7 linked regions of the Oryctolagus cuniculus genome follow. The protein of the gene in region 6 purifies or fractionates together with the protein of the main gene of each other region. This does not show direct contact. Links are inferred from orthologs where the notes say so. Each region holds a gene or a part of one and is shown on either strand. Other genes may lie near its edges.

Region 1 (4,252 bases), on a different chromosome or scaffold from region 6:
ACTTTCCAGATTATTGTATTTCCTAAGCATATTAACTGCTTGTTTTCACCTATGGTAGAAATGGGTCTCTGGGTACTCAATGGACAGTGAAGAGGCACAGGTTACATGTTTTAGAGAATATGCAAGTTTGCTGTAAATCATGAACTGATTAACTTATGCAGTCCCTTATCCTTGTTAAAGTACACAGCTAAACCTCTGAACATTGGTTAGATTATACTAACAGCTTAATAAGGTGATAACAAGGGAACAGGAAGGCTCTCTTGTTCTCCACAGTATCCTGGGACTTCATCTGGTAATGTTTCTGCACATCACTGCATTAATAAAGACCTGGGTTTTTTCCCTAAGAGCATGGCACACTATACTGAGGAGATTCTAAAACGTAAAAGGAACCTTAGGAGATTGTGCAGGCTAAGAAACGTTTTTAACTGCAAAATGATTTCTTAAAAAGAAATCTCATGCAGAACTCATGAAGTAGATAACATATCTAATCTAGTTTAAGAGGGAGTAGGAATCTTGCTTACTTGGAAAGAAGGTATCTATCTTTCCTAGGAAGCCCCCCAAAGCCCAGCTGAGCAGTTATAAAACTATGGATCTAGTTCAACATCTTCTCATTACAGATAAGGAAACTGAGGAAACCAAGGCCTCCAAAACCTGTTTCTTGTTTGAAGTAACAGAGCTATTAGTGATGTTTAAATGTAATCACACAGAGTTGGCAGATAACACTAATAATAGTGCATGATTTACAAAAGATTGCATTCTTGGTGGAAAAAAAGCTGTCAAAGAATTCCTGATGAGCAAGTATTTTCCCACACTGCCCTATTGGTGAGCTACTTCGTATCTCCACTCAAAAACATCAACGACTTTTCCCAAATCAACGGCAAATAAATGACTTCTAGTTCTCAGTGACACTTAATCAGAGTGACATTTTTCTGCGAGGATCAGGAATTAACTAACAGTTCCTTTGATTCTATTCTTTACAGGTCCTTGTGCAAAACTGGGCTTGGCTAGAACTCAACTGTCCTAGTACGAGAACATTTCCAACCAAGGGACCTTAGAAAAATATTGGTAAGGACTTAAGCATCAAATGTAGAACACTATGGCCCTCCTTCCATGTGTCTGTACCTCCAAACAAGCCCACTCCAGCTACCAAACCTTTCTTACCTGGGAATTTGGCTGGAATGCAGCATGGGGTGTTGAGTGTTTCTGTAAATTTTCTAGCATTAGAGCCTGGTATGGAGAAGTGCAAAAGTCAGAAACCAGGTGAAAACAACAACACAAAACCGCTACCCCTCCCACAACCTCTTCATTTAATGTGATGCCTTAAATACACACTTAAACTGCGCTCCTTTTCCAGGAACCTAAAAGCTCTTTACCAATACTGTTCTCATTCATCCTCAGAAGCCCTTCAAAGGTAGCCATGGTTACTGCTCCTAAATGCACAGATGTAAAATGCAGGCCCACAGACTCAGAGATCTGGCCATGTCATAAAAATCAGTGACAGTGACAGAAGCAATACTACAATCCTTATTACCCTCTGCACATTTGGTGCCTCTTCTAAATCTAGCAGTGCAGGTAAAAATGACTTCAAATGCTCAACACCAGCTTCAAATACATGAAACCAACACCGGGTGCTCGGTTTGGCTTAACTGAGTTACTTGGTCAAACTGTTGCCCAAGACTAGATCTACTTGAATGAACCTGTATAATTTCTGGCAGAGACACTGAGACTTATCAAATTTATAAAACCTGTCAAAGAGGCCACATGAGAAAATGAATACAGACCCTGAAAATTGTGCTTTGCCCTAATCCACACCCCCCACACAAAACGGCCAGCTTCTGGATAAGCAATGGTCTGCCAATTCAACCCTCGGGCCAACCCAGCCCGACTCTGTACTACCTGCCACGTATCCTAATCAACTCTAATTAAAAGCGACACATCCTCCCCTTCCTCCGTTCACACCAAGCCCATACACACCACTTCGTCCAGCTCAAGACAAACCCACCCTAACCTGCTCAAGCCGATCCAATGTAAACCTCACCTCTCCCACCAAACTCTTATCCACCCAAATTGCTTCTGGATTCCCTGCAGACACCACTGTCTCACCACGTCCCTTCAAATCAAGGCTTCTCTTCATCTCACCTCCCTATCTACCAGGGCAGACATTTTATCCTACCCCAACCCTGCTCCAGCAGATCCCGGGATCAACCCCATCCTCCCCTCCACCCAACTATACCCCTAACTCCGACCCAACCCAACTCGCCCCCGTCAGGCCAGCAACGCCGGTGGTTGTAGTGGGATTTAACTCCTTCTGCAGCGCATGCGCCGAAACCACAGACACAAACAAGGAGGGGGTGGGGGAAGGAGGAAGGAGCTTAAGACACTCCGGGAGAGTAGCGCGCACCCTCCCATTTTGGGCTCGCGCTGCTGCCGTTAAGGCGGGAACGGGCGCGATCTCCGTTCCAGCTCGAGCCTCACCAACCACCGTGCGCGCGGGGTTGGAAGCTCGCGCTGGCGGCCTGAGAGCTCGCGCCGAGCCCGGACACTGCGCCTGCGCCGCGGCAGAGACTCGTCTCTACCGGGTCCGCTCCCCTCCGACACCCCGGGATCACCGACTCCTCACCCCTTTGAGCCGCTTGACCAGGGCACTCTTCTGCCCGCTCTTGGCTAGGCCTCGCTGCTCCAGTGCGGCCTTCAGGTCGGTCACCCGCAGCGCCTGAAGAGGCTTCCCGTCCAGAGTCACCTCCTCCAGCTCCGCCATCTTGCGTGAGGTACTCGGGTCCGTCCCGACGGCTTCGGGCATCTTCGGTAATTTCCGCCAACGCCCTTCGAACGTACCGACCTGGCCCCGCCCATTACCATAGTCTACGCCTCGATTACCACTCAGAACTCCCCGAGTCTTTCCGGAACTGCTCGGGTGTTTCCGCCTTCACATCGCCGCCAATTGGTTCTTTCCGTTAGTCCTGCCGCTACCCCTCCCTCGGCTTGCTTTCAGGCTCGGTTATCTCCGTCTTGCCGAAGCTTTCAATCGAATGTATTCGGAAGCCCTCGACGCTAGCATAACCGTAATCGGAGATACTCGGCTATCTCCGGACCTGGAGCCGGGGCGCTGAGGCGCTTGGGTGTTTGGGGTTGGTCCCGTACCGGAAGTGCGTGGGCTGCCCGGCTGGCCCTATTCAGGATTTTCAGGAAACATGGAAGCCGCGGCGGTAGCCAGCGTCTAAGGACTCGTGTGACTATCTCCGGGGAGCCTTTGCAAGGAAACAGGAGGTAAGCTAGGCAGAGGTCTCTCTCTCGGCCGGGTTAGACTGCGTGTTTGCGGGCAATTTTAGTGGGAAAAGCCTCGCTTCTTTACGGAAGCGGCTGCCGCCCCCAACCCCCTGAGTCCCTGCCACTCTGGCGAAAGGGTACGTTACTGTTTTGGGGCATCGGAATCGCGGGCTCCCGTGGCCTCAAGACAGTATTGTGTCTTTCGACCCAGACTCTGAACGGATTCCTCCTGAGACTGAACTTGAGCTTGCCGTGGAAGCCGTGTGGCCAGACTCATGAAATGTTCTCCCTTTCCCGGAATGATAATAAAAAGTTGTTTTCGGAGGAACTACTTGTGGGGCCACTGGGATAAAGGCAAACGCCCGGAATTGTTTTGGCGTTGGAATTGATGTGAATTACGTAGAGGTTCCTTTCTCTGCCACTGCAAACTTTCCAGCTTGTAGCAGAAGAAATACAAACAGTAAGATTTTCAATAGACAAACAGTTGAAGGTTTTCACTGGTAAGAGTCAAGCTGGGACTGAAAACTAAGATTGGCTGACTTCTCAGTTGCTCTTATGATGCAAAAAAAGTCTAGGCATCAAAGGTATCACACTAAACATTAAGGAAAATTGTTTATAGGATATGAATTGTCATACAACAATACTCCTATGCATAGATTCCAGATTTTTTTTTTTGCGCGCGCGAAAATAAACTTACCTTTTAGTTTCATTTTCCATGGACTTTTTGGTGTGTTCTTGCCTGTTAGATCTCTAAGCCAACAAACCAGCAGGACTGTATTTTCAGGGTCTTGACTAAACACTCGGCTTCTCCTTTCTCATGGTTTTCTTTTTTTGTTAAGTGGGGCAAGACCCTTGGTCTGCTCTTACACTTTTTCCTGGTGCTGTAATTACACAAAGTATGAGGAGGTAACGGATGTTACGAAGTTTTTCTGACATATTTTAGCAGCTGTGCATGCTTTGCAAAGAAGGCTCTTTTGTTATATAT
Region 2 (4,162 bases), on a different chromosome or scaffold from region 6:
TTCCAAGGCACCTAAGGGGACGTCGTGTGGACTAGTGGTGGACCAGTGGGCATCAGCCTCCACGGGCTGTTGTGAGGACTTTGCTAGACATTCTTGATTTGGGCTTTTCTTACAACAACCCTTTACAAATAGGAAAAAAATTTTCAGCTCACAGCTCAGACAGACACAGGCCACAGGTTGTGGTTTGCCAACCTGTGGGCTGAGGAACAACGGAATTCTTCAAGAGATGCTGGAATTTAGCTGGGGATGAGGCAGCCTCCAAAGAAAACGCGAACGGTGCCTCTCGTCCTGCACACTAAGCACGGTTAAGTGACAGCCAAGGCCTGGACCGTGAGGTCAAAGGTCAGGAAGGGGGGCATTACCCGCTTCTGCTGCTCCAAGAGCTCGTGCTCCTTCAGTGAATGATCTCCCTGCTTAAGAGAGAAAACAAGCTCACACCAGCACAACTCCCCACGGCCCGCCTGCCCCAGCTCTGCCGCCAGCCTGCGGCCTGGTTCTGCCTCTGGTCCCGGCGCCAACTCCCCGAGCCCACTCTCTCCGCAGGGACCCACGAGGCCAGGCCCAGGCTCCCCCGCCCTACCTGCTTGGCGCGCTCCTCTTGCTGCATCAGCAGTGCCGCCTGCTGCTGCGCCAGCTTCAGCCGCTCTTCTTCCGACAGCGCCACCGGCTCACCCACGCGGAGAGGAGGCGGGGGCCCCAAATTTGGTGGGTGGGCCATGGGAAAGCCAAGGCCAAGGCCTGGTGGGGGTGGAGGGGGGGGTGGAGGGGGCTGCAGAGGAGGGAGCCCCATGGGTGGCGGTGGCATGGGAATCCCAGAGAGCTGTGGAGAAAATGCGATCGTGAGCCAGGAGGCATTCGCCCACGCCCTCTGCCAGCATCCGCTGGGAGCCTGCTCTGAGCCAGGCACTGGGATTCCAAGTCAGACGAGATCCTGGGGTCGGTGCTGGGACACAGTGGGCTAAGCCTCCGCCTGTGATGCCAGCAGCCCGTATGGGTGCAGGCTCGTGGGGAGTGAACCAGCGGATGGAAGACCTTTCTCTCGGTCTCTGTCTATAAACCTTCCTCTCAAATAAATAAGTAAAAAAATATTCAAAATCAAGGAAAAAGACAGAGACGTGATTTCTTGCTCTGTAAGAGACTGCTCTGTGCACTGGAAGAGAACGGGAAGTTCTCTGGGATACCATCCAAAGAAAGCTACCGACTGTCTCCACGGAAAAATACCACGAACACAGCTGCTCCACACGACTCCAGGACACTTGAGGGACCAGCGCTGGACACAGCGGGTTAAGCCAGCGTCTGCAGTGCCGGCATCCCCTACAGGAGCTGGTTTGAGCACTGGCTGCTCCACTTCCGATCCAGCTCCCTCTAGTGCTCCTGGGAAAGCAGTGGAGGATGGCCCAAGTGCTTGGGCCCCTGCACCCACGTGGGAGACCCAGAGGAAGCTCCTGGCTCCTGGCTTCAGCCTGGCCCAGCCCCAGTCACTGCAGTTATTTGTGGAGTGAACCAGCGGATGGAAGACCTCCGTCTCTCTAACTCTGCCTTCCAAGTAGATAAATAAACCTTTTAAAAAGAGACACTTTTAAAAAGAGCCACGGCTCACTAGGCTAATCCTCCACCTGCAGCAACGGCACCCCGGGTTCTAGTCCTGGTCGGGGCGCCGGATTCTGTCCCGGTTGCCCCTCTTCCAGGCCAGCTCTCTGCTGTGGCCAGGGAGGGCAGTGGAGGATGGCCCAGGTGCTTGGGCCCTGCACCCCATGGGAGACCAGGAGAAGCACCTGGCTCCTGCCATCGGATCAGCGCGGTGTGCCGGCCGCGGCGGCCATTGGAGGGTGAACCAACGGCAAAGGAAGACCTTTCTCTCTGTCTCTCTCTCACTGTCCACTCTGCCTGTCAAAAAAAAGAAAGAGCGAGACAAAGGCCGCTGAAGGAGTGCAGAGCCATGGGTCAGAGGCACTCTCTGGAGGAAAAGCATCAAATCCTGCATAAGTGACGGACGGGAGACAACCGGCGTGCCAGGCGCTGCGAGCTCTGCAGAGTCCACCCGCGCGTTCAGTCTCGCACAGCGACACGGCAGCACGCGGGGCGGGCCAAGAGGTCGACACGGCAGCACGCGGGGCGGGCCGCATTCAAGCGGAACCCCCGGGGCCAGAACTCGAAGGCGCGGACGCCGGGAAGCGGGCCGGACCCGGAGCTCCCACCTCCGCACGGCAGCCCGACGCAGGCGAGAGAAGGGGGCGCCCCCTTACCTGTGCCGACATGGGAGGGGGCGCGGCTTTGTCCCCATCTTCCCCTCTCAAGACCGGCCGGTTCAGCACGATGCCCGTCTGCGAGAGAGAGAGCGAGGCTCCAGGGCGGCCCACCAGGGAGCCAGAGACTCCTCCGCGCCGGGGCCGGCCACCACGACGCCGGGCGGGCCCCCTCGGCCGCCGGCACTCACCTGGCGCGTGTAGCTCTGCAGCCGCTCCACCAGCTCCTCGCGACTCCCTGCGGGCGAGGCTCGGGTCAGCGGCGCGGGCCCGCCCCCGCCCCCAGTCTCCCGGGTAACCGGGCTCCGCGTCTCCACGGACCCTCGGTGCCCTCCCGGCCCCTCCAAGCCCTCACCCTGGATCGGAGCGCCTATCTCTGCCAACTTGGCCTGGAGCTCCTGGGCAGCCCAGGCGCCATAGTGCCCGGGAGGCGGCGGCGGCGGCAACTGCAATTCGCCTTTGGGAGGCTCGGGATGCTCGGCCGCCATCTTGGCCACAGGAAGGCGCGCGACCAGCCCGGAAGCTCCGGCCGCCCTCGGGGCCTACTTCCCGGAACTTCCGGCAGCGCCGCACGCCACGTCCTCTCGGCGGCGGAGGGAGCTCGGCTTGTCACGTGACTCGCCGGCCGGCCGCCGAGCCTTCTGGGAGTCGTAGTACTGAGGCCGCCGAGCCTTCTGGGAGTCGTAGTACACTGAGGCCGCGGCTCCGACGCGGAGCGCAGACCTGGGCTGCGGCGCCCGGAGCGGGGCCGCGCGGGCGGCGAGTCCCGGCCCCAGGGAGTGCTTTCTGCGTCTCGCCCGCCCGAGCGCAGGCTTCCAGCCTCTGGCTCGACTCCCGGGCCAAGCGTGAGAGGCCTGAGTGCCTGCGTTCCCAGGGGGTCCCGAGGGACTCGCTCCGCGGCGGGAGCGGAAGGTCGGGCCGATTGTCTGCCCGGGCCCGCACGGACGGAGTGGAGCGCTCGCTGCCACCCAAGCCCCTTTCACATCTTCCAGGCCCGCCCTCTCCGGCTTTCCTGGAGTTCTCGTAATGCGTTCAAATCTGCTCCATCTTGTTCAAGTCTTGGTCTTTGCACTTACATCCGCCTGAAAAAGACGAGTCGGGGCTTGATCCAACGGCTGCAGCCCCTGGCGTGCAAGGGGCGCCCAATAAAGGTGACCGGAAGAGCGGATCTTCAGCGACATCACTTGTTATCTTTTTTGGTCTTGGTCAGCCCCACTCCGCTGGCATCCCCTGCCGAGCTCACGGAGAGGCGAGCAGGGGACCCTGCCTGCCCAGCTTCCACGTTTGACTGCGCTGCCCCATCGGCTGCATTTCACTTTCCACCTGTGCCACCAGCTCTGCGTCTCCAGGGCCTGTGTGAGTCCTTGTGCTGAGTGACAGGAAGACTCACGAAAGGGTCTCACCACACGCGCGCACACACACACACCCTCAGATCCTTTCTCCACCCAGCTGCATTTAACTGTCCTCAGTGAGAAATACCTGGGAGCCGGGAGCACAGCCCAGAAGGTGAGGGTTGGGGGCAGAGCAAAGCACCGGGCCGGGGGAGCCTGGCTCACACCCCTCCCTCCCACCCACTAGGTCACCAGCCCACGGCTCCTGCTGCCAGTCCCAGGGAAGTCACAACAGCACAGGGAAAAAAAAAAAAAAAAGCGGTGCCCTTCTCTCTGGCACATCAGCCCACTCAGGCAGAACCCCTCCCGGCCTGAGGGAAGGTTCTTTCTGCTCCCTGTAACCGGAGAGCCCACCGGGGCAGGTCGGCTGAGGCTGCAGGCACGGAGCCACGTGCCTCCACTGTCGGGAAGGGGGATCTCTGGGCAGGAGAGGAAGGGCTGCTGGTGACAGAGCGGGGGCCGGGGGACACACCAAGGCGGCCTGGTTTTACCCCAACAGCCCCGGGATGCAGAGAGGAGGGGCGG
Region 3 (2,284 bases), on a different chromosome or scaffold from region 6:
ATTCAAATGCAACAAAACATTTCTCAAACTTCCACCTGCATAATCCCCACCTGCACAGAGCACTGCTCCGCCCTGTTTGGTTCAGCAGGGCTGAGGACGTCCGATTCGTACTCCTGCCACACCCCAGGAGATGCCGACGCTGTCCGTCGCTTCTGTTACCACTTCTATCATGACACCACCTGCTCCAGGACGGAGCTCCCTCCGGTCAAACAGACCCCTTCTCGGCTGGTTTCCACGTCCTCCCACGTCCTCCCCGCGGCTGCGGCTGCTGACTGCGGCGCCCCCGCCCCGGCCCCGGCCCCGGCATCTACGGCCTCCTGTCCCACACCTGCGCATCGGCTCTGCCTTTGTCCGCCTCTGACCCATCCCTGGACAGACGGGCCATCTCGTGGCCTGCGGGAAGGCAGTGTAGACCACAGGGGGCTAAGGCACGGGAAGCAACAGCCCAGCAGCCCTGGCACTCTTCCCAACAACTGCGATACAACGTTCCCGTCACCATCTCCATTCTTTCCAAGTTTTATTCCAAAAAAGGGTGTATGTGGGGGTAAAGATGTCCGTGAAGAGTAATCACCATCCTCACAATACGGTAATGGATTGGATCGGCTGGGACGGCCAAGGACCGGGTCGGCGTCGCACATCCGCGGTCCCCGCGGCAGTTAAAAACAGTCCGCGTCTTCTCGGCGTGGGAGGAAGAGCCCGCCCACCCGCCCGCCCCTTCTCGGCGTGGAGGAAGAGCCTGCCCGGCCGCCTCTCCTATTTATCCTTCTCCTTCTGCTCTTTCTCCTTCTTCTCTCGCTCGGCTTTGGCCTCCTCTTCCTCGTGCTTCTTGATCAGCTGCTCCACCTCCTTCTGTTTGAGCACTCGGATGACCGTCTTTCCGTTCTCTCTCGTGAGCGTGGCAATCTCCACTACAAACAGACACATCTGCGTTAGGGGCAGGCACGCTCGGCAGGCAGGCGTGACAGCCACGCTCAGGGACCGGCCCCGCGGCCGCCGAGCCTGGCTCCCTCTGCCCAGGCCTCCTGCTCGCGGTGGCTCATGGGTACTCTGCTCTGATGGCCACTGTCACTGGATTATGTTTTACAGTCACACAACTGAGGGTCAATAAAAGGGTCTGGAGTTGCTAAGTGGGCTTCACACAAGACATCGCAGCCCACACGTCCTGGAGAGAGCGCCACCAGTCTCCCGCCCACGTGCACGTGACGACGCGCACACGCAGAGACCACGTGAGCAGTGACAACACTGTCAGCGAAGGCAACACAGCGCAGGCTCCCCCAGCCGGGAGTTCTGAGGACAATCAGGCTCAGGCTCCGCACACCCGGGACGCAGCGTGGGCCCGTGGCTCCCCCACCTATCAGTGCCGACTCTGGTCGAGCCGCTGCACTTCCCCACGCCCCAGGGCTCTCACTGAGCCAGCAGGGAAAGGCCACCTGACGCCGGGCCAGCGTTCCAGGAAGGAGTCGGCGGTCAGCCGACGCAGCAGCTGCTCCCACCAAGCCCGCGCTCAGGGAGCACACAGCGGTCACCTTTCTCAGCGGACAGCTTGCTGACATCCATGGTCTTGTTGAGCACTTTGATGGCTAAAGCGAGCGCCGACTTCAAGGTCATCTCCCCCTCCTTGTAGTCTTGTTTCAACATTGACACAGCTGCCTGTAAAACAGAGCCACTTTTTAGTGTTTGCATTTTGTCTACCAGAAAATGCCGGAACTTCTATTAGCAGTGCACCCGGGTGAAGATTCTGAGGGCAGGGCAGGTGGCCGGGGGTGCTGGGGAGAGCGGGCCACGGGTGCTCGCCACTGGGGCCCGCGCCTGGGATCTGCTGTCTCCCAGGGGTGTGCCAAAGAATCCAGAGTGTAAAACTAACAGGAAAAATTACACCTACACTTCTACAACTTCTAACAGAAAACCACCTTTAATTACAAATGCAGCCAACAAACCCCACTATATTACGAGGACCGATGAGTGTCACTAACAGAAAGGAAAGGCATCGTCCTACCACATTAAGGTGGCTGGAGCGCTCAGGTTTGAGTCCCAGATCCTCTTTTTTTTTGACAGGCAGAGTGGACAGTGAGAGAGAGACAGACAGAAAGGTCTTCCTTTGCCGTTGGTTCACCCTCCAATGGCCGCCGCGGCCAGCGCGCTGCGGCCGGCGCACCGCGCTGATCCGATGGCAGCAGCCAGGAGCTTCTCCTGGTCTCCCATGGGGTGCAGGGCCCAAGTACTTGGGCCATCCTCCACTGCACTCCCGGGCCACAGCAGAGAGCTGGCCTGGAAGAGGGGCAAC
Region 4 (4,046 bases), on a different chromosome or scaffold from region 6:
GCCTGCCAAAGAGGGTCCACTGTCACCACTGCTCCATGCCGTGCTGCAGGTCCCAGCCAGTGTGAACAGGGATCCAAAAAGAAAAAGCCAAAGAAAGAGCAAGTAAAATACAAGGGGCTGGCTGTGTCCCGTGGGTTTCACTGCCGCCTGCATCCCATGTGGGCTCTGGTTGGAGTCCCAGCTGCTCCACTTCCGATCCAGCTCCCTGCTAACGCACCTGGGAGAGCAGCAGAGGATGGGCCAAGAGCTTGTTCCCTGCACCAGTGGGGGAGTCCTGGAAGAAGCTCCTGGCTCCTGGCTCGGGCCTGGGCCATCCCCAGCCGTTCTGGCCATTTGGGGAGTGAATCAGTGGATGGAAGATTCTCTCCTTCTCTGTCTCTCCCTTTCAAATAAATAAATCTTAACAAAACGAACAAAAAGATAGGGTCTGGCACTGTGGCGTAGCAGGTAGAGCCGCTGTCTGAAGCCCCGGCTGCTCCACTTCCGACCCAGCTCTCTGCTCTGGCCTGGGAAAGCAGTGGAAGATGGCCCAGTGCCTGGGCCCCTGCACCCGCGTGGGAGACCTGGATGGAGCTCCTGGCTCCGATGGGACCAGCCCCAGCCGTTGCCGACACTTGGGGAGTGACCCAGTGGATGGGAGGTCTCATGCTGTCTCGGTGACTCTCTCAAATAAATAAATCTTTTTATATATATAAAAAAAAGTTAGTTAAAAATGGAATTTCTGTAAATGGCCTTTACAGTACCATCCAAAAAACTACAAATATCTAGAGCTGCAGGCGCGGGCCGAGCCTGCGGGGAGAGGGCGGCGGCGGCCACGCGCGTCACGGGGCAGGCTGCAGGACGCACGCTTCCAGTCTCTCAAGGTCGGGAGACCCCCGCGGGCCTACCGCAACCCCACCAGACCCGGGCTTGACTCCCGGGGCCGGCCCCGCCGGCGCCAAGCGGCCACGCACACCCTCGCTCCCACTGCGCGATGCCCTAGTGTGAGAGAGGTCCGCGGGGCTCTTCCCCCGGTTTTCCTAACTTTCGGACCCAGACGTCTAGAAGCGGGGCCCCCCACCCCCACCCCACCCCACCCGACCCGACTCCAGAAAGCCCCGGGCGGAGAACCCCGCGCCCGGCCCGTCCCCAACGCCAGCACGGAGCGCCGGCCGAGACGACCTCCCGGGGAGGCGTGGCTCTTCGATTGCTTCGGGCTGGCGGTCGATCTGCGATTGGTGCGGCCTGGCGGCGGCGCGGGGCATGCCGGGACGTGTGCTCCGCGCGCGGCGGCAGCGGCAGGCGGGGGCGGCGGCGGCGCGGGGCGGCTGGCGGCGGCAGCATGGTGAAGCTGACGGCGGAGCTGATCGAGCAGGCGGCGCAGTACACCAACGCCGTGCGGGACCGCGAGCTGGACCTCCGCGGTGAGTGCGGGGGGCGCGCGCCGCGGCCTCGCGGCCGTCCCGCCGGCGGAGCCTCGAGCTGGCTTCCGGCCCGGCGCGTAGCGTCGCGCGGGCCTCGCGGGCGGGAAGGCGGCCCCGGCGGGCGGGAAGGCGGCCCCGGCGGGCGGGAGCTGCTGGGCTGGGATCCGGGCGGGAGGAGGCGGGGCCCCGATGGTTTCTCACCCGATCGTTCCCTTCCGGGAAGCGGCCTTGAGGTGGAGCCGTCTCGCCGAGCCTGGGCGCGTGGGGCGCTCTAGAGGCGTCGGCCCGGACTCGGCTTCCCGGGGATGGGGGCCGGGCTCGGCTTCCCGGGGATGGGGGCCGGGCTCTGGGGGCGTCGGCCCGGACTCGGCTTCCCGGGGATGGGGGGCGGGGGCCCCGGACTCGACTTCCCGGGGATGAGGTCGGGCTCTGGGGGCGTCGGCCTAGACTCTGCTTCCCGGGGATGGGGGCCGGGCTCGGTTTCCCGGGGCGGGGCCGGGCTCTGGGGGCGGGGGCCCCGGACTCGGCTTCCCGGGGATGGGGGGCGGGGGCCCCGGACTCGGCTTCCCGGGGATGGGAGGCGGGGGCCTCAGACTCGGCTTCCCGGGGATGGGAGGCGGGGGCCGGGCTCTGGGGGCGGGGGCTCCGGGCTCTGGGGGCGGGGGCCCGGACTCTGCTTCCCGGGGATGGGGGCCGGGCTCTGGGGGCGGGGGCTCCGGGCTCGGCTTCCCGGGCTCTGGGGGCGTCGGCCCGGACTCGGCTTCCCGGGGATGGGAGGCGGGGGCCGGGCTCTGGGGACGGGGGCCCCGGACTCGGCTTCCAGGGGATGGGGGCCGGGCTCTGGGGGCGGGGGCCCCGGACTCGGCTTCCCGGGGATGGGAGGCGGGGGCCGGGCTCTGGGGGCGGGGGCCCCGGACTCGGCTTCCCGGGGATGGGGGGCGGGGGCCCCGGACTCGGCTTCCCGGGGGTGAGACTGCGGCGCTGGCCGGAGGTTGCCCGCGGGCGCCCGTTGGCTGTGCTCGCGGCCTGGACTCCCCGCTGACCTTCGGGGGAAGCCCCGGAGCTGCTATTTTGTAGCGAAAGGCTCGGTCCGAGAGCAAGCCGCCCCTTGGGCCGCTCCCAGGTCTGGTGGGCGCGCCGTGCTGAGCAGCTCTGGATTGGAAACGGCCTGGCCGCGGCCCTTCCCTCCTCCGCTGGGCACCGAGCGCAGCAGTAGGCCCCGGTTAGAGCGGTGGGCTTTCGGGCGAATTGTTCACAGGGCGTCGCCTTCAGGTCTGGATTGGCGCTGGGGAGGTGAAATAAAGGGCTGTGGTGACGGCATGAGCGCGTCCCGGGAGCCTAAGGGCTGTAGTGGCGTCATGAGGGTGTCCGGAGAGCCTGTGGACTCTGGTGACGTCATGAGCGTCCCGGGGAGCCTGTAGACTGGTGACGTCATGAGCGTCCCCGGGAGCATGTGGGCTCTGGTGGCGTCATGAGCGTCCCCGGGAGCATGTGGACTGTGGTGACGTCACGAGCGTGTCCGGGGAGCCTGTGGGAGAGGTTGGGGACCGTTGACAGTAGGGCCTGGGCCTACTGCAGCGGAAGGCGAACCGTTGGGCGGCCCCGCCAGCGTTCTTCGGAGCCTCGTCAGGCGCCCCTCACGCACGTCCTTGCCGTCAGCCTCGCGCGTCCGCAGCTGGAGCCGAGCCTCGCGGCGCCGGGGACTCGAGACCGCCCGCTCTCGTGTGCGGTGGGTGCGCGCAGTGTTCCTCACTGGCAGGTGTGGGTGCTGGACACCGCCGGCGGCCCGAGGGCCCTTCGGGTCCTGTTCATGCCTCTCCCGCCCCGCCCTTCTGTCCGCAGGGTATAAAATTCCTGTCATTGAAAACCTGGGTGCTACCTTGGACCAGTTTGATGCTATCGATTTTTCCGACAATGAGATCAGGAAGCTGGATGGGTTTCCTCTGCTGAGAAGACTGAAAACGTTGTTGGTGAACAACAACAGGATATGGTGAGTGCGCCGGAACAGCGTGGCCTTTTCTCCGCTGCTCGCTCCTGAGAAGCTGTAGTGAGGCCGGGTAGACCTACTTGATTCCAGGGTTCTGCGGGCACCTCCTGCAGCAGGAGGCCTGGCCAGCCGGAGCTGGGAGCTGGAGCCGGCCGGATGGCTGCTGTGGGTGCGTGCGCTGTCACCAGCCCCTGGGGCCTGCAGCAGCAGCAGAGCTGGCATTGGCGCCACAGCTGGGCGTTTAACCCGGGCGCTCGAGTGTGGAGCGCAGTGTCTAACTGCCTGGCTCACACCTGTGAGCCAGTCTTCTTCGAATGAGAGATGGGGTGCAGCTTTCCAGGGATCCAGGGGTTACTTTGACATTGGCCTAGGCGTATTTGCATATGTTCAGAAATATTTACATATTCATAATTTCTAATTAAAAGTGTGCTGTTTTGTACATGTTTTGGCTTCTAAAATAGTTATCAAAGGGATTGTATAAAAAGCTTTATAAAGCTCAGTAATTGTGTTTTTATCACATGTCTACCTCCTGCCTTCTGCTTTACTTTTCTTCAGTTAAACTGGTTTCTAGAAGATTTGCTGAAATTGGGATCGTTTTAGCCCTTAAGCTCTGTGTAAATTTTATTGGAAAAAATTTATTGGCTACTTGTAGAGAA
Region 5 (2,742 bases), on a different chromosome or scaffold from region 6:
ATCTCCCCTCTCTCAAATAAATAAAACTTTTTTTTAAGTTATATTCAAGTTTTGCTTTGTGGATATTTTTATTTTAAAGCAAGACTTGTATATTCGTCCTAAAAGTCAGTAAACTAAATGTGTGTTTCTTTTCTGTCTTCCAGAGGTGGTGGTGGAGGAGGAGGCGGATGGAGAGCTGCTCAAGATAGAGATCAAATTTATAGGTATGCCAGGAAAGGATTTATAATTGGTCAACAGTAGAAACTTTGAATAAAGATGTACGCTTAGTAATGGTTTTATAGTTAAGGCATAAGTGGCCTCACACAAATTTGGATTGCTTGGATGTAAAGCCAGATGACAATATAATGGAGTTTGTGGATCTGCAGAAATAATATGGTTTATAGACAGAATTACTCAGTGGTATCATTTTATTGAAGCACTAGTGAAATTTGTTTTAGGTGTTAGAAAATTAGTTTCTTCTAACATTATTTCACAGAATTTAAAAGGAAAGCATATTGATTGGTCAAGTAAAGAATTGATTATTGGATCTCTGATAGTGAAACGGATGCATTATTATAATGTGCTTTATTCTCAACTTACAAGGACCTTGAAATCTCCTACTTATGAGAAATATTTGAAAATTCATGAGGACCTCTTCATTTTGGTAGGGTGTTACTGTCACTTGTCAGTGTGATCTATGGAGACTTAGGCAGTCTTGACTTTTTTTTTACAGAAGGCGGTCACCTTCTCCTTACTATAGTCGTGGAGGATACAGATCACGTTCCAGATCACGATCCTACTCACCTCGTAAGTTTTTTTATCTTAGGATTTTTTTATACAGCCAAGTTACTTCCTTATGCAGATAATGGGTTGATTTGGGTTATTTATATGTTATGAACACACATCCTAAATGTTGCTAGGACTCAAAGTTTATAAAAACAACCCTTAAGACTTACTGTTTTCTCTCACTGTCAGTAGCTTTCCTTTTAGAAATCCTTGAAAATTTTGGACAACTTTGGGATACTTGGGTGATTTAAAACTGTTGTTCTCAGGTTATGATCTACTTAACCCAGCCATTTCTGTTTAACACTTGAATGTTTAATTTCTGTTGTTAACACCGTTCCGAGAATCTTCATTTTCAAAGAGGGGCTATGCTGGTACATAGGAACGTGCTAATGGTGAGGTAGTCTCAGTTCTCAGCATTAAGTACATTTGCTATTCTGATTCCTTGGCATTGAAGCATGTTTGTTTATTTTCTTCCCAGGTCGCTATTGAAGCATGAAGTTGAACACTCTGAAATCTGCCCTAGAGCTGGGATGTTGTTTGTGGACAATATTTTTTATTGTCTCCTGTTTAAAAAGTGAACAGTGCCTAGTGAAGTTAGGTGACTTTTACACCTTTTATGATGACTACTTTTGGTGGAGTTGAAATGCTGTTTTCATTCTGCATTTGTGTAGTTTGGTGCTTTGTTCAAAGTTAAGTGTTTTCAGAGAAGTATGTTTTGCATGTATTTTTTTACAGTCTAAATTTTGACTGCTGAGAAGTTTTTATTGTACAAAACTTCATTTAAAAGGTTTTTCTACTGAATCCAGGGTATTCTGAAGATCGAAGCCTGTGTGTAAAATGTTACCAAATGGCAAAAAGCAACAATAAACAGTTTGGTTTTTACTTTTCTTTCTAACATATCAATGCTTAGCAGAAAGTTCAGATTAAGTTGTCAGTAGTGAATTTAAAGACAAAAATGCCCGTTATTTCTCCAGTCCATGAAACATACCATACTTATTATACCTGCAAGTAAGTGTTAAAAATTACGCTCTGTAACTCTGTACTGCTAGTATTAGAACTAAAACTTTGAATACAGCAAACGCTTGATGCTTATATAAATGTGGATTTGTCAGCCTTTATGTAACCTGTATTATATATAGCAGGGAATAAGAAAAGAGTTACACAATGTATGCCTTTAAAAGGCTTTTTCTTAAAGCTGTTACAAGGGGATAATGGTATTTCAACTAGTTATCAGCAAGTAACAATACATTCCACCACAAATGTACTCTTGTTCTAGCTTTTAGACCATATGAAAAAACTGGGTGCTTCAAAGTACGGGATAAGAGAAGGGAACACTACACCTGTGTCGTGGATAAACTGAAGACTTTGCCTGTTCATTTTTTAAATATTATTTTCAGGTCCTTTGCTTACCAAAGGAGACCCAATTTCACTCAAATGTTTTGAGAACTGTGTTTAAATAAACGGAAATGAAAGAAAATTTGCTGGTGCTACTCAATGTTCAAAAAAAAAAAGTTTTAATCTTGTAATTAGACTTCTAAATCTTAGTTTGTAATACAGTGTGTCCATTGGGCTGAGAAGTGTTAATATTCCAGGAAAACTTAATGGATAGCTAGATCTGGCATGATCATCTCCATTTGAGGATAGGATTGCATTTACAGAAAACTCCAGCCTTCACACATACCCTGAAATACCTGTTCGTACAAAAACTCAGGTACTTTTAAAAAGCACTGTACATACTATTTCATTTAATCCTTGGCAATCCATGATGTATAGAGTACTTTACCTAGGACTGAACATCTTTCATTTGAAAGAGTGGTGGAGGGAGAGGTAGAAAGTTCTTTCAGCCACTGGTTCATACCCCAAATGCTTGCAATAACCAGGAACCAAGAACTCTATCCCGGTCTCTCAGGTCAGTGTCAGGGGCCCAAGGATTTGGGCCATCTCCCACTGTGTTCCCAGGCACATTAGCAGGAGATT
Region 6 (3,500 bases):
ACCCCATGTGCCACGTCCCGTGCCGGCCACATCCTGCCTCCAGGGCCCAGTGTTCTAGGGAGCGAAGACACCAGCGCCCCAGACACCCACAGGCACGGCAAGGGAAGAGGGCTCGGTGCAGAAGGTCCCAGGGGAGCGCCACTACGCAGGCGCCGAGCAGACAGCCCCTGAGACAAGCACAGAGCGCGAGCGCACCGCTCAGCAGCCTCTACGGCCACAAGCCCGCTTCTGTGCCTTCACGGCGTCCGGCAAGACCAGGGCTCCGACCCCAACCCACGGTCCACAGCAGTCGGTCTGGGAGCACCGCCGGTCAACCCGAGGGAGCCGGCCCAGCCCAGCCGCGCGAGGCAGGAGCACAGCGTCTTCAGGAACAGGTCCAGGGGTCTGGACAGGTGCCTGGGCCACACGCCAGCAGAGGGCGGGCTGGAGGCAGGTTTGGGTTCTCAGAGCACACCAGAGCAGCCGAGGGACAAGGACGGACTGCACATGCCCGACCCCAGCACTGGCCCGCTCACCTCCAGAAAAGCAAAGTTCTTGTCTTGGTTAATCTGCACAGCCAACACAGGGTTCCCAGGAGCCTGCGTCAGCCCCCCCAGGCGCATCTGGGCGTTGAAGAAATCCATCATGGCCTCCTGCAGAGGGAATAGGAGACAGGGGGGGGCGGGGGAAGGGAGGTGGAGAGAGGAGGGGAAGGGTGAGAGAGGGAGACACAGAGGGGTTTGGGGGTAAGGGGGAGGGATGAGGGGTGAGGGAGGGGAGGGGGAGGGGACAGTGAAATATGGGGAGTAGGGGGCGAAAGGGCCAAAAGCAAGAGGAAGGTGAGAGAAGACAGGGAGGCAGCAGCGAGAGGCGGCACAGGGCGGGAGATGGGTCGATGCGGCCGACAGGACGGAGGTTGGGAGGGAGCCACGGGGGCCCCAGGCCATCGGGGAGACGACAGCAGGCGTCAGACGGGCAGGGGAGGAGACAGCATGTGGGAGGAGAGGACCCAGGACACGACGGAGCAGATGAGGACAGGCAGGAGCAGGAACCGAGAGAGAGAGAGGCCACAGGGGCGGGCAGGGCGACCAGGACAGAGCAGAGCGAGGAGATCCAGAGGTGGGGGCGGGGCGGGAGGAGGGGCGGGAGGGGAGGAGAAAAGAGTGATGCGGAGGGACCTGGCCCTGGAGTCCGGGGGCTGGTTTATCAAATGTAGCAAAGTGCAGGTTGAGAAAGTCAGAATGGACCTTACTTGCCTTCGACGATGGTAGCAAACTTTTTGTTGCTACGAGGGATCTCAGCCCCACAATATTTCACTTTAAAGAGAAATGGAAACAACTCTTTGATCTCGGGATTCTCAGGGGGTGCCACGGGAAGGGGTGGGGAGGGTCGGGGGACAGGAGCGGCGGGGAAGGTGGCAGGGAGGAGGTCAGGGCATCAAAACAGAGCAGCGACCATGGGAGGGAGGGAGGGCTGTGGGAAAGGCTGGGACAGCGGCACAGAAGGAGAGGCGTGTCAGAGAAGACGGGCGTGCGTCTGCGTGTGTCTGCGTGTGCCTGTGTCGAGTCTCCCTCTCTGTCTCTCTCCGACACGTACGTGTGATGTGTAGGTACGTTAGCTGTGTGCTGGAGGAGGGTGTGGGAGGGGAGACGGGAGAGGGAGGAGGAGGGAGGGAGGGGCCACCCCCAGCCCGGCCCCTGGCTGGCTCAACTCCATCCGTCCGTCTGGGAGGGGGCCGGGGGGGTCTCGCAGGAGCAGAGTCTGACCCGTGCAGGTTGGGGGAAGGGAACGGGGGAGGGGAGGGGCGGGGGAGAGGGAGGGCAGAAGGGGCAGTACCTCAGTGATGCCGAAGGGGATGTTGCCCACGTAGAGGCGCCGGGCCTGCCTCGTCATCTGGCTCCCAACCACGGGCACCGGCGTCGGAGTCACGGCCAGACCATCCGGGGTCATGGTGGGGAGGAGGGCAGTGGCTGGAATCTGACCCGCAGCTTGGAGGAGACGGCACAAGACGAGGCGTCAGGAAAGCCTGGCGCGGAGCTCGGGCACCACCCACCACACACTCAGCTGGAGACCCCCACCCCCACGGGCACTTCGGGTGCCCTCCTGCAGCCCCCCAGGCGCGGCCAGCGGGCCTACCTTGCATGGCCTTGTACTGCATTGGGGTGATGTGCTCGAAGCCAGGGGGAGGCACGTCCCAGTATTTACGCACCTTCTTCTTCTTCTCATGGCGGGGGGAGCGACTGGGGGCGGGGAGAGCGGGCGGCCAACCTCAGTCTGACCCACAGCCGCAGGGCCCCTCCCAGGCTCCGCAGAGGCCACCCCCCACGAACTCCACTCTCCCCAGGAGAGGGGATCTGGACCCAGGCCTAGGGAGGGGTGCTGGTTTGAAGGCAGAGCGGGGGCCAGGGCTGGACACGGGCACGGAGGAGGGGGGAGGTGTGGACACGGGTGGGAGGAGGGAAGGTGTGGACGTGGGTGGGAGGAGGGGAAGGTGTGGACATGGGTGGGGAGAGGCACACAGCAGTGAGGGAGGGGAAGGTGTGGACACAGGCAAGAGAAGAAGATGTGGACACGGGCAGGGAGGAGGGAAGGTGTGGACATGGGAGGGGGGAGGGGAAGGTGTAGACGTGGCACAGAGAGGCACACAGCAGTGAGGGAGGGGAAGGTGTGGACGTGGGCAGGGGGAGAGGAAGGTGTAGACACAGCAGGGAGAGCCACACAGCAGTGAGGGAAGGGAAGGTGTGGACGTGGGCAGCGAGAGGGGAAGGTGTGGACACGGGCAGGGAGAGGCACAGAGCAGTGAGGGAGAGGAAGGTGTGGACACGGCAGGGGAGAGCCACACAGCAGTGAGGAGGAAGGTGTAGACGCGGGCAGGAGGAGGGGAAGGTGTGGACGTGGGCAGGGGGAAGGGAAGGTGTACACGAGGGCAGTGGAGAGGCACACAGCAGTGAGCGAGGGGAAGGTGTGGATGCGGGCAGGGGGAGGGCAAGGTGTGGACAGCAGTGAGGGAGGGGAAGGTGTGGATGCGGGCAGGGGGAGGGCAAGGTGTGGACAGCAGTGAGGGAGGGGAAGGTGTGGACACGGCAGGGAGAGGCACACAGCAGTGAGGGAGGGAAAGGTGTAGACGCGGGGGCACAGGGGCAGGAGAGACGCTCACATCAATCCACCGTGGTCCTCTTTAGCGCCTCTGGTCAAAGGTTTGCTGGGGGGTGGGAGGGAAAGGTAGGGGAGGGGTGACTGGGGACCCTCGACTGCCCCACAGGCCACTCCCCCCCAGCTCACTGAGTCCCAAGGCTGGGGCAGGGCCGAGGAGAACAAGCGGCAAGCAGCCCCCTCGGCCCTGCCATCTCCCCCCGCCAACTCCCAGACCAGGATTAGGAGAGGAGGAGGCGGGCCAGGGCAGACCAGTGTCCCTGCAGGCACTGGGCGGGGGGGGGGGGGGGGGGGCGCGGGAAAGCAGAATCCCTGGAGGGAGCCCGGGAGCCGAGGCTGCAGACAGTGCCCCACTGCGAGGAGGGGAG
Region 7 (4,148 bases), on a different chromosome or scaffold from region 6:
TAGATCATGAAAGTTATCAACCTTATAAGTATTAAATGAAAAAATTCCTGAACCAGCTGGCATCCTGTCTGTTGCATGATTTCTTCAGTCTGGGTTAGCTATCTCTACCTCTGTTCCCATAAGACTTTCTGTGTGCCGGCACCACAGCTCACTAGGCTAATCCTGCGTCTGCGGCGCTAGCACACCAGGTTCTAGTCCCAGCTGGGGAGCCGGATTCTGTCCCGGTTGCTCCTCTTCCAGTCCAGTTCTCTGCTGTGGCCCGGAAAGGCAGTGGAGGATGTCGCAAGTGCTTGGGCCCTGCACCCGCATGGGAGACCAGGAGGAAGCACCTGGCTCCTGGCTTCGGATCAGCGCGATGCGCCGGCCATAGCAGCCATTTGGGGGTGAACCAATGGAAGGAAGACCTTTCTCTCTGTCTCTCTCACTGTCTATAACTCTCTCTCTCACTCACTGTCTATAACTCTGTCTCTCTCTCACTCTATCTCTGCCTGGCAAAAAAAAAAGACTTTCTGTGTATCTCTGTGTTTCATCACTAGAAATATCCACCTCACTGCAGTGCAGTCATCTATCCTCACACAGCACCATCACAAACTTTGAGGCAGGGCCCACGGATTTAACTTCTTTCATCCCAACTTCCCAGTAACTGTCCAGCTAACAGGGGCTCCTTAAAGATAGAAAATAGCTCACTCGATACTTCGCACTCATCATCCTGATGTCCCTACAGTCGTGTCATCTTTCCCTAAAAAGACATTGCAGGAGCTTTACCTTTGCTATTCCTTCTACCATGACATAGTCTATTTACTTACTAAAAGCAATTTTCCTTTACAGCAAACTCTTCCCCAACTTTTTAGCAGCCTGCATTTAGCAGCGCATCTCTTTGCTCAACTAATTACACCTTCCTAAAGTTGTGACCACCTTGTCCAAAAAAGCCACTTGATTCCAAACTTGGAGTCACCCTCCAACCCTTTACTGTCTTCCCAGTACCTGGTACCTGAAATGGCATTATTGATTTGTTTCACTCATATAACCAGAAGGCAAGCTCTGCACAGATAGGAATGCAAAAGTATAGGAAAAAGTTTCTCACTCATCAACCAATACAACACACCCAACACTTCTGACACCAGATGTGGGGGGAGTTTCCAGACATTCAGGTAATGTCCAATTCAATTCAATTCTGACAGATCCTGAGGGCTGTCTTGCAAGACTGCCACACTTCAGATACCAATTTCAAGTGTGCTCAGGGTATACTCCTCACCCACGAGGTATAAACTGGGGTTCCACAACTCCCTCCTTGAGTTCAACTGGCTAGGCCAGCTCACAAAACTCAGGGAAACGTTTACCGATTTATTATAGAGGACATTAAAAGTATACAAATAGCATATGAAAAGCAACACAGTTGCTAAGACTGGCCACTTAAAGACTGCATTCTGCCATTGCGATTTTAAGCACACAATACCCTCAACATCCCTGGTATTTTCCCTGCATATCCACTTCAAATTCTAACTTTTTCTCTTGACCCTACTTGTCTATGTCACAATGCCTCGCACCTACCTGTAACAGTTTCTAAAGCAAACTCTTTGATCCACGCAGTTCTCTTCATCTAATTGCTTTTTGCACTAAGACTATCATCTATGTAAATGAGCACTTTGATAGTTGTATGCCTTGGGCCCCATCTGCGTTGCAGCTAAAGACAGATCTCCTGGATACGTAACGCCTGAATACAGCAAGGCACTCAACGTCATTCCCAAAAGAATGGTCGCGTAAATTTTTTTTTTTAAATTCAGTGTCATCGGCCTGGCTGAAGACGCTTGAGGAGAACCAAGCATGGTCAGGGAGCTCAAGCTCACGCCCTAAAATGACAGCTTCCTTTGCAGCCCATTTTTTCACACTCGACTTTTCCAGATGAGTTCGCGGGGAAAGTTTGCCTACTTAGACCGGGCAGCCAGGTCACGCATAGGGAATTATGTAACTTCTCGGAAGCTCCCGCTTAGAGCATCTTTTTCTCCTAAAGGAAGGGAGCGCTTGGCCTTTGGTTACCAAGGCAACCGGGCACAGCAGCGCTCCAAGGTGGTTCGATTTCACCGAAGAAATTCTAAGGTTCAAAGTTAAAAGTGCGGAGCGCTGGCGCCTATGGGGACACAGCGGCCCCCACTGTGGCTAACTGAAGACTCCCCGATCAGTTCCGGATCCCCCTTTTCGGGAAGCTTTGTTCGGGGCGACAGAGTGGATAGAGAAAAGGAGAGAGCCAGAAGCGAACAACGGCCGGAGCGTCGCGCAGTCGCGTCCCGCGCGCTTCCCTCCGCCCGCGTAGGCAAGCCCCGCTCCCCACGGTGCCATCGCGTCCCGCGGAGCCGCCGACCCCAGGGCGCGCGCTCCACACACCCGCAAGGGGCTTCAGCGGAAAACACGTGCCGCTCTCCAGCTTCTGCGGTCCCGCCGAGGGTTTCGGCCTTGCCCAGGGGCCGAATTCAACCCAAGGCCGCTCAGGAAAGACCCCAGCGTCGGGGAGGCCTAGCCGCCGCGGCGACCGGCGGGAGGCCCTCGCCAAGCTCTCGGCTCTCTTCTTCCTGTGTCCTAAGCCAGATCCCTGGCTGGAGACGACGGGGCAGAGACATGAAAAAGAGGGGCACTACCAGACCCTTCCGTATCAAGGACCCAAATCAACAACCCACCTGGTGAGCGCCATCTTCTTCCGCTTCTTCTAACGCGAGCGACAGCGCCGCGGGGCGGGTCTTTCCCGGCAACCAGGAGCGAAGAGGGCAGAACCCGCGATGCGCAGGCGCCGCCGCCGAAAAGCCTTCTGGGACTTGTAGTTGTTTAAACGTGAGTACAATTCGGGTCTCTTCTGACCCGTGGGGTTTTACAGGACGGCCCCTGAAGTCAAGAGTAAATGGCTAACTTGATTACTCGTTTACTGTCACATGACAGGACATTTCCTTGGCTAAATAACGAGGGTGGGGGGAGAGGCATTTTAAACGCCTTTATTTTATTCCCCCGCTCAGACCCATTCACCTAGAAGAGGTGTCTAAGTATAAGAGGCTGCCCGAAGCAAGTTGAGTGGAGGACAATGGGGTTTCTGAAACGGTAGGAAATCGTGAGACCGGAGCGTTCTTGGACGCTCTGAGAACATTCACAATCAGAAAACTGTTCTTGAACCAGTACCCTTTCTTCCCCAAACACTCCTGGGGATTTAACTGGGATAGTTCAAACCGTTGGTAGAAAAAAAGGGAATTAAAATATAGTTATTTTATGCACCAAAAAAAATTGAAATTTAGACAGTTTTTTTTATAATAATATACATTTTCCATGAACCTCTTGAAGACCCACTGTATTTTTGTGTTCTTTAGCAAGTCACTTTGAGAATATTCCTTATGTGTATAAATATATATGTATATACCTACATACATTATATATATATGATTTAATATATTCAGTAAGATTTATAGGAGGCCATTCATTTGGACTGAGCTTCTGAACAAAGACCTGTCAAAAGTCAAAACTGTGACAGATTTAGTTTGAAGATCTAATCAGGGTTCAGCACTGTGGCATAGTGGGTTAAGCTGCCACCTGCAGTACAGGCAATGCCGGTTCAAGTCCCAGCTGCTCCATTTCCAATCCAGCTCCCTGCTAATGCACCTGGGAAAGCAGCGGAGTTTGGCCCAAGTGCTTGGGACTCTGCACCTACGTGGGAGACCTAGAAGAAGCTCCTGGCTTTGGATCGGCCCAGCCCCAGCTGTTATGGCCATTTGGGGAGTAAACCAGCAGGTGGAAGACCTCCCTCTCTGTCTTTCCATCTCTCTCTGTAATTCTGCCTTTCAAATAAAAAATAGATTATTTTTTCAAAAAAAGATTTAATTAGCTTTTAGTTTTGATTAGCTTTTAGTTTTTTTTTTAAGGTTTTATTTATTTAAAAGGCAGAGTTACAGAGAGGCAGAGGCAGAGAAAGAGAGGTCTTCCATCCACTGGTTCACTCCCCAGTTGGCCGCAATGGCTGCAGCTGCGCAGATCCAAAGCCAGGAACTAGGATCTTCTTCCCAGTCTTCCACGCAGATGCAGGGGCCCAAGGACTTGAGCCATTTTCCACCGCTTTCTCAGGCCATAGCAGAGAGCTGGATTGGAAGTGGAGCAGCCAGACTCGAACTGGAGAC

What was found.
Region 1: the proteins of U2AF2 (region 6) and ACIN1 purify together in Homo sapiens (affinity purification with mass spectrometry; 3 studies listed by BioGRID and IntAct, counting the BioPlex papers as one, with this or other methods). This does not show direct contact. The link is inferred for Oryctolagus cuniculus from reciprocal best matches to the Homo sapiens genes U2AF2 and ACIN1.
Region 2: the proteins of U2AF2 (region 6) and SF3B2 purify together in Homo sapiens (affinity purification with mass spectrometry; 3 studies listed by BioGRID and IntAct, counting the BioPlex papers as one, with this or other methods). This does not show direct contact. The link is inferred for Oryctolagus cuniculus from reciprocal best matches to the Homo sapiens genes U2AF2 and SF3B2.
Region 3: the proteins of U2AF2 (region 6) and PSMA4 fractionate together in Homo sapiens (co-fractionation; 3 studies listed by BioGRID, with this or other methods). This does not show direct contact. The link is inferred for Oryctolagus cuniculus from reciprocal best matches to the Homo sapiens genes U2AF2 and PSMA4.
Region 4: the proteins of U2AF2 (region 6) and SNRPA1 fractionate together in Homo sapiens (co-fractionation; 3 studies listed by BioGRID, with this or other methods). This does not show direct contact. The link is inferred for Oryctolagus cuniculus from reciprocal best matches to the Homo sapiens genes U2AF2 and SNRPA1.
Region 5: the proteins of U2AF2 (region 6) and TRA2B purify together in Homo sapiens (affinity purification with mass spectrometry; 4 studies listed by BioGRID and IntAct, counting the BioPlex papers as one, with this or other methods). This does not show direct contact. The link is inferred for Oryctolagus cuniculus from reciprocal best matches to the Homo sapiens genes U2AF2 and TRA2B.
Region 7: the proteins of U2AF2 (region 6) and SNW1 purify together in Homo sapiens (affinity purification with mass spectrometry; 4 studies listed by BioGRID and IntAct, with this or other methods). This does not show direct contact. The link is inferred for Oryctolagus cuniculus from reciprocal best matches to the Homo sapiens genes U2AF2 and SNW1.

The regions. Positions count from the first base shown.
Region 1 is NC_091443.1:51,920,717-51,924,968, reverse strand, and holds the start of ACIN1 (apoptotic chromatin condensation inducer in the nucleus), read right to left. Parts: upstream 2,801-4,252; coding exon 2,621-2,800; intron 2,573-2,620; exon of another isoform or gene 2,135-2,572; coding exon of another isoform or gene 2,039-2,134; intron 1,228-2,038; coding exon 1,162-1,227; intron 1-1,161.
Region 2 is NC_091432.1:5,766,885-5,771,046, forward strand, and holds the start of SF3B2 (splicing factor 3B subunit 2), read right to left. Parts: upstream 2,801-4,162; 5' UTR 2,735-2,800; coding exon 2,602-2,734; intron 2,485-2,601; coding exon 2,438-2,484; intron 2,325-2,437; coding exon 2,247-2,324; intron 821-2,246; coding exon 581-820; intron 414-580; coding exon 363-413; intron 1-362. UniProt on the Homo sapiens protein: Component of the 17S U2 SnRNP complex of the spliceosome, a large ribonucleoprotein complex that removes introns from transcribed pre-mRNAs.
Region 3 is NC_091443.1:106,298,628-106,300,911, reverse strand, and holds the end of PSMA4 (proteasome subunit alpha type-4), read right to left. Parts: intron 1,651-2,284; coding exon 1,527-1,650; intron 909-1,526; coding exon 754-908; 3' UTR 501-753; downstream 1-500. UniProt on the Homo sapiens protein: Component of the 20S core proteasome complex involved in the proteolytic degradation of most intracellular proteins. This complex plays numerous essential roles within the cell by associating with different regulatory particles.
Region 4 is NC_091443.1:10,490,476-10,494,521, reverse strand, and holds the start of SNRPA1 (U2 small nuclear ribonucleoprotein A'), read left to right. Parts: upstream 1-1,246; 5' UTR 1,247-1,321; coding exon 1,322-1,403; intron 1,404-3,245; coding exon 3,246-3,393; intron 3,394-4,046. UniProt on the Homo sapiens protein: Involved in pre-mRNA splicing as component of the spliceosome. Associated with sn-RNP U2, where it contributes to the binding of stem loop IV of U2 snRNA.
Region 5 is NC_091435.1:95,591,738-95,594,479, reverse strand, and holds the end of TRA2B (transformer-2 protein homolog beta), read left to right. Parts: intron 1-143; coding exon 144-203; intron 204-712; coding exon 713-786; intron 787-1,243; coding exon 1,244-1,254; 3' UTR 1,255-2,242; downstream 2,243-2,742. UniProt on the Homo sapiens protein: Sequence-specific RNA-binding protein which participates in the control of pre-mRNA splicing. Can either activate or suppress exon inclusion. Acts additively with RBMX to promote exon 7 inclusion of the survival motor neuron SMN2.
Region 6 is NC_091449.1:3,333,362-3,336,861, forward strand, and holds part of U2AF2 (splicing factor U2AF 65 kDa subunit), read right to left. Parts: intron 3,182-3,500; coding exon 3,137-3,181; intron 2,220-3,136; coding exon 2,116-2,219; intron 1,968-2,115; coding exon 1,816-1,967; intron 633-1,815; coding exon 516-632; intron 1-515. UniProt on the Homo sapiens protein: Plays a role in pre-mRNA splicing and 3'-end processing. By recruiting PRPF19 and the PRP19C/Prp19 complex/NTC/Nineteen complex to the RNA polymerase II C-terminal domain (CTD), and thereby pre-mRNA, may couple transcription to splicing.
Region 7 is NC_091451.1:23,450,505-23,454,652, forward strand, and holds the start of SNW1 (SNW domain-containing protein 1), read right to left. Parts: upstream 2,801-4,148; 5' UTR 2,687-2,800; coding exon 2,673-2,686; intron 1-2,672. UniProt on the Homo sapiens protein: Involved in pre-mRNA splicing as component of the spliceosome. As a component of the minor spliceosome, involved in the splicing of U12-type introns in pre-mRNAs.